Linked DNA regions of Drosophila melanogaster. The protein of the gene in region 2 purifies or fractionates together with the protein of the main gene of each other region. This does not show direct contact. Each region holds a gene or a part of one and is shown on either strand. Other genes may lie near its edges.

Region 1 (3,141 bases), on a different chromosome or scaffold from region 2:
TTGGGCAGCTGGGAAATAACAGTAGGTCTGTTTTAGTTTTGTCACTATTTATATGCTAATGCGTTGTCTGTATCTTGCTCTTGTTTTTCGGCACATTGTTCATCGGCGCGCAATTTTCGTACACCCATCTTGACATATACACAAGCATTTTGCACTGGTGTGCTATGTGTCTATGTGCAGACACCAATATGTGTATTCTGTTCTACGCAATTGCAAATTGCGCCTGGGATCTGATCTCTTTTGTTCGCCGCGATATTTCGCACAAGATGCTCCGCTCGCGATGTGTTATTGTTGTTGTGGGGCTGCTGTATTGCAGTTTTACCGTTTTGCTTCACACCGATTTCGTTAGGGATTTGATAAGTTATTGATTCGTTCTATTTTGGGGATAACACGACAACGTACTTTACTTTGGTGCGGCATTGGCTACTTTACGATAACTTTATAACACTAGACCTCGAAAATGAACAATTGAAACGAAAATAAGTTATATTATATCGAGTGAAAAGCTTTTCCTGACCTGCAGTGCGACCGTTTGCCGCTTGAGCGCAAAATACCGAATGTCGATAACTACAGAAGTTGGAATTTATCCGAAAATCCACCCTTGGAAAATTACATTGTCTTGTCAATTATTTTCTTTATTATTAAAATAGTTTTTCTTAATCCTCTAGCTTTTCTGGTGGTGGCCCACATGGCTGCAGCATTCGCTCCATCAGATTAAATCGCACTCGTGCCTTCGATTCATTTTCCGCTATGGCAAAGTAGTTGAGAATATCGTAGTGACCCATGTAGCTGGCCAAGGAGTCGCGATGTTGATTTGTTAGCCACTCGAACTTTGTGGTATCCGCGTGTCCTGTTCCGATGTACTTGCTTTGTAGATGCTCCAGCTGGCTGTGGATATTGTAGCGTTCACCCATTTTGCTTAAGTTGTTTCAGTATTAGGCGAGGAATAGTTAATGTGCAGTGTGTTATTTTGTTGTTTGCGTCTTGGTGTGGCCAGAAATTTTGTATGTTGGTATTTTTATTACTTTAGTACATGACACTTTGGTATTTTAGTACACAGGCGGCAAACTTGGTATTTAAAATCGTAATATTTGTTTACATTTCGCTGTCATTTATAAATTATTCATTTATCAAGTACTTTGATAAGCAATGTGTGGACGCACCTGTCTGTAGGTATATAATTTTTTCTTTCACCATTTCTATTAAACGCCTCTTCAGAACTCTAGACCCTGATCAGGTAATTTGTGCCTGTAAATATCCAAAAAAATCTACTCGAAAGGAGCCGGATTTCAAAGAGAAAGATGATATGAAAGATGGGGAAGGATCCGAAATGGAGACTCCCGAGTGGAGGGCGGAATACAACCTGGGTAGACGCTACCAGGCCTCCTACAACATAGCCCCTACTGATATTACGCCCGTGATCGTGTCCGCAGCTCATTTTTCAGACGCCGAGGATCAAGAGTGCGCCCGCGTGGTAACGCCCATGATGTGGGGCATGATTCCCTTTTGGCACAAGGGTGACTATCGGCGGCATGGCCTTACCACCAACAATTGCCGTCTGGAACACCTGATGGACTCCAAGCTCTATCGCGGTCCCTTCAAGCGAGGTCAGCGGTGTGTAGTTATTTGCGAAGGATTCTATGAGTGGCAGACGGCTGGACCTGCGAAGAAGCCATCGGAGCGTGAGGCTTACCTGGTATTCGTACCCCAGGCGGCGGATGTGAAGATCTACGACAAGAATACATGGTCGCCCCAGGATGTGAAGCTTTTGCGAATGGCTGGACTTTTTGACGTCTGGGAGGATGAAAGTGGCGACAAGATGTACAGCTACAGTATTATCACCTTCCAGTCCAGCAAAATTATGTCCTGGATGCACTACCGCATGCCAGCGATCCTGGAAACCGAGCAGCAGATGAATGTGAGTAAAGCATTTGTTAATCCTTCGTTAATCCAGGTCCAATTTACCCATCCTCGCATATTCTAGGATTGGCTGGACTTTAAGCGAGTTAGCGACAAGGAGGCCTTGGCTACATTGCGTCCGGCTACCGAACTGCAGTGGCATCGTGTTACCAAGCTGGTAAACAACTCGCGAAACAAAAGCGAGGAGTGCAACAAGCCGATCGAATTGGCGGCTAAGCCCGCAAAGCCACCGATGAACAAAACGATGATGTCTTGGCTGAATGCCCGTAAGAAGCGGGAAGATCAAATCAAAGCAAAACAGAGCGACGATGAGGATCAGGAAAAAGAAGCTACGACCATGGGAGGGACCTCCGCTGACGGCTCACCCGTAGAGAGGCCCGCCAAGCGACCCAGATTCAGGGACTTTAAGAGGAATCGTACGGCAGCTCCCCCGCAGAGCAGCGGCAGCTAGATGAAATCGGGCAAAAGATAAACCTCATCAGTAACTAAAGTTCCATAGTTTGTAGTACATTAAGTTTATTTTCAGTAAAAACCAAAATTTTTATTCTCAATAACCAAAGTTTTAAGCATTATCATCGTTGTGGTGAGCTTACTTACAAATGTTGGGACTTAGCGACTAAAAAGTTGTTTAGAATTTGTTCTCTCGAAGTGAGGTTAACTAACTAATGTTATGTTTGAACTTGACGTAATTAATTAAATGGTCTCATTTCTGCGAGTGCGATTCAATTTTGAGCGCCACTGTATTGAGCTTGGAAGTTTTTGTTGTCGCGGCATAAAATGCAATTAAAACAAAATGAAAAGCTGCACATAAAGCATGTAAAGTGTACATATCGACCGTATATTGTTTGCTCGTCTACGTCTGATTGCCTTGGCGAAAAATGAGCGAAAATTAATGGGAAATGGTGTCAATGTTGTTCGCGGGAAAAGCGTGGAAGTGGTACACTTGCTGAGTTGCTTACAACTATCAATTTGTGGTATATTAGGCTACGAATTGTTTAATTATTTATATATTTATACGTTGTATGAACTTTAAAATGCTCAATGACAAATACAAATGAATACTCTGCACACAGCGTGTCCACATATGAACTTAATCCTATATAATCGATGAGAAAGTTTAGAATTCATGGGCTATATAGCGGTGTAAACACATTGCCTTTAGTTACGAACAATCGTAAGGCCTTAATTGTAAATACTTTTGCACGGCCAATGAGCGGGTTA
Region 2 (3,826 bases):
AGTTTGTGCAAAAGGAGGGTATGTACTTGTGTCCCAGCTGCAGTCAGGGATTCAAGAGCATAGGCAACATGAAGCGCCACTACAAGAGCGTCCACGAAAAAGTCAAGGACTTTGAGTGCCGTTTCTGCTCCCGTCGCTTTGCCAACTCGCAATCCGTGAAGCAACACGAGTGGATACACACTGGCGAAAAGCCCTTCGAGTGTAAGACGTGTGGCAATCGCTTTCGCCAGGTAGCGGCGCTCATCCGACACCAAAAAGTCCATGACGAAAAGCCGGCGAAGCCTCTGGGGGAGAGAAATGACCGTAAACAAAAGGTTGAGGCACTACGGCAGGAAATTGCGAAGGTCGCCAAGAAGGAGCTCAAGGATTTGAAGAACCAACTGGCACTGGAGAAGCAGCAAGACACATACGAAAAGTAATAGGCAGCGGCAGCTAGCCAAACTGGTCCTGACCTTAAGGAGGAACCCTAATCGCAGAATAGTTTACGATTACATAGGGCAAAAGACTTCCCATAATAGTGGGAATTTTTATTGTTGGTTAATATTTAACTATTACTTGTTATCCTATTTCTAAGTTGTTAAATAAACTTGACCCAAATGACACACTTTAGAATAACTACAAATGGTTTTGGACTAAAACTAGTTTTAAAAAAAATTGGTCATAAATCGAAACAAACGATTCTAGTTTTTCAATTTTTTTTTATTTTTACTTTCACTTGCTTGTTATTTTGATGAGAGAGTGTCTTAATGTCGTCAAATGATTGCAAACAGTCGGAACCGGGCGCAAATGTCTGCGTTCCGCGATATCCGGCCGTTTATATGATAGATGGAGTGATGGATGGATGATAATGATTAGATTCAAATGATACAAAATGCGATCAAAAAAATCTACAAGTAGATAGCAAAAATTTGGTATACACATAAGCAGAGCAAGAAGTTCCCTAAACAATGGAAAATGGTCGATGGAAGTGGGGGCGTCATCTGGTGGGGCCCAATGTCTGGCTATGCCCCATCACCGCCTGCCGCACCAAGTGTGGGTTCTAAGGAGCTTCAGGCGTCTTCAGATTGTACTTGGCCTTAATGTTGTTCAGTTCCTCCTGTTTCTTGTCCATGTCCACGCGCTTGAAGGCCTTGTTGGATTGGTAGTAGAGCACCACCAGATAGCGATTGCACACATTAAAACCCGATAAATGGTCACAGGCGTTCTTGGCATCGAAAATGTCCTCGTAGACGACAAAGGCGGTGCCACGCGTTTCCGGAGTGTTGCCTCTGCAAAAGATACACAAATTGATTGAGAGGATTCACGGCGAATAGCATTATCATCTTCAATCTTACACGCGTATCTGTCGAATGGCTCCAAATTTGCCGAATATGTCGTACATCTCGTCCGAGGTGATTTTGTACGGCAGGTTCCGCACGTACAATAGCCGATTCACCTCTGGCGGCAGGCGGATCTGCAAAAGAAATAGCACTTTTCACTCAATACATTTGCTTTGTGTGTGGAGCCGTAGGTTTTCTGCTCACATGGTTGCGCTTGTTCATGTCCGGTCGCTTCGGATGTTAAGCGGCGACAAGGCGAGAAACTTTCACTCGGCCTCGAGGAAAGTGTGTGGCGGCTTTGTCTGACCCGGGATGAATGTCCTGAAGCGTGGTCCTTTGTTTAAAATTAATGACTCCTCTGTCTGGCCTCAAACCCAAACAAAATTGAACAGGGTGGCGAATGTGGGCACTCTAAATGGCGAGAGTGTGGACGCATTTCGAGAGCCGTATCGAGTGTGACCGTGCAGCAGCACTTAGATACATATGTGAGAGGAAGTTCGTTACATCGGAGCAGCTTTGGACTGCAAAATTTGATTTAATATTCATTTTTTTTCATTTTGGCAATAAAATAATTTGTTGTTCGGAAATTATATATCAGAGTGATTCAAACATTTTAAGCTGCTTAAAAATATTAAATTAAGCACAATAAATTAAAAAATCAACTACATTAAATATAATTTTAAAACCCGTGACGACACGTTGCCATCTCTAATAAAAAATAGCATACTCCCTCTCTCTTGCACGGTCACACTGTATACATCTCGCTAATTGTGCAAAGAAAAGGTGAAAAAAGAGACAATTTACGCAAAATCTTAAGAAAATTCCAACTAAAATAGTTTTAAAGCACAGCCAACACCCAAAGGTAAGTAGGGGGTATGCGGACAACGCAGAACTTATCTCGGAAAAGCGTTTTCAACCGCACGCCCGATGTCACGAAATATGGCGGAGGCAGGCGAGTTCTATTCGTGTGTTTTTTTTTGTCTGGGGTTGTGGGCAGAAAATCGCACGTTACTCTCGGGGCAGGGCTTTCAACTCCCGCCTTCCGCCGTAAAACCATTAAGTGCCAAGGAAACATCGAACGGAAAACGTAAATTTCACAACAGCAGATGTCTGTTTGCGGGTGTGGGTGCAAAATGCCCTGGTGTGCGTGAGTGGCCTCGAACAGAGTGTCTCTCGTGCTCTCTCTTTCTCCCCCATTTGCTACCCTTTGCGAGGCCATTAACCCTAATTTCTAATTCCGAATTCACTAATCAAACCTAAAACCCTTGCGATCTTCCCTTGCAGCAGCAAAATGACGTGGGAACCACAGGGAGAAGGTCTGCAGCAGATCATAGCGATCCTCAAGGAGTCGCAGTCACCGGACACAGCCACTCAAATGGCCGTACAGATGGTGAGTAATAACTTCTACCAGGTACGGTTCCTCGAACTGCATGCACATATTGTGTCCTTCTCAACAGAAACTGGAGGAATTCAATCGCTACCCCGACTTCAACAACTATCTTATCTATGTGCTGACGAAACTGAAGACAGAGGACGAGCCCACGAGATCACTCAGCGGCCTAATCCTCAAGAACAACATCCGCATGCACGGCACCACTCTGCAGCCGGAGATCGTGGAGTATATCAAACACGAGTGCCTGCAGGCAGTGGGCGACGCTTCGCCCCTGATCCGTGCCACCGTGGGCATCCTGATTACCACCATCGCCAGCAATGGCGGTCTGCACAACTGGCCGCAGCTGCTTCCATCTCTCTGCGAAATGCTCGACAACCAGGACTATAATGTGTGCGAAGGCGCATTCAGTGCCCTGCAGAAAATTTGCGAGGACTCTGCCGAGATTTTGGATTCCGCAGCGCTCAACAGGCCATTAAACATAATGATTCCAAAGTTCCTGGAGTACTTCAAGCACAGCAGTCCAAAGATCCGCTCCCACGCCATTGCCTGCATCAACCAGTTCATCATCAACAGATCACAGGCTCTGATGCTAAACATAGACAGCTTCATTGAGAACCTCTTTCACCTGTCATCAGATGAGGACCACGAGGTGCGCAAAAACGTGTGCCACGGATTGGTCATGCTGCTGGAGGTGCGAATGGACCGTCTGATGCCGCACATGTCGCAGATTATTGAGGTATAACTTTAAAATAAAATATATAATTAATAATAATTATTCTGATAAATTTTTGTTTAAATATCTTATTTAACGAATTTTAGTACATGCTGTTGCGCACCCAGGACACCGATGAGGGTGTGGCCCTGGAAGCATCCGAGTTCTGGCTTTCACTGGCCGAGCAAAGCATCTGCAAGGACGTGCTTGCCCCTTATCTTGCTCAATTAGCGCCAGTTCTTGTACGAGGCATGCGGTACTCAGAGGTCGACATAATTCTCCTCAAGGGAAACGTTGAGGAGGATGACATGGTGCCCGATCGAGAAGAGGATATCCGCCCGCGTTTCCACAAGTCCCGTGCACACACAATCAGGAGTACACAAGAGGGAGGAGCTGGAGCGA

Evidence for each region.
Region 1: the proteins of Sf3b6 (region 2) and Sf3b5 purify together in Drosophila melanogaster (affinity purification with mass spectrometry; 2 studies listed by BioGRID). This does not show direct contact.

Annotation. Positions count from the first base shown.
Region 1 is NT_033777.3:9,014,351-9,017,491, forward strand, and holds Sf3b5 (splicing factor 3b subunit 5), read right to left. Parts: upstream 992-3,141; 5' UTR 915-991; coding exon 657-914; 3' UTR 622-656; downstream 1-621. Other genes in the region: CG11986 (uncharacterized protein), read left to right, coding at 1,150-1,169, 1,219-1,918, 1,985-2,371. UniProt on the Drosophila melanogaster protein: Involved in pre-mRNA splicing as component of spliceosome. As part of the spliceosome complex, plays a role in the regulation of spermatogonial differentiation.
Region 2 is NT_037436.4:6,191,442-6,195,267, forward strand, and holds Sf3b6 (splicing factor 3b subunit 6), read right to left. Parts: upstream 1,739-3,826; 5' UTR 1,542-1,738; coding exon 1,524-1,541; intron 1,454-1,523; coding exon 1,335-1,453; intron 1,269-1,334; coding exon 1,040-1,268; 3' UTR 683-1,039; downstream 1-682. Other genes in the region: CG7386 (uncharacterized protein), read left to right, coding at 1-419; Tnpo (transportin), read left to right, coding at 2,611-2,709, 2,777-3,448, 3,532-3,826. UniProt on the Drosophila melanogaster protein: Involved in pre-mRNA splicing as a component of the splicing factor SF3B complex. SF3B complex is required for 'A' complex assembly formed by the stable binding of U2 snRNP to the branchpoint sequence (BPS) in pre-mRNA.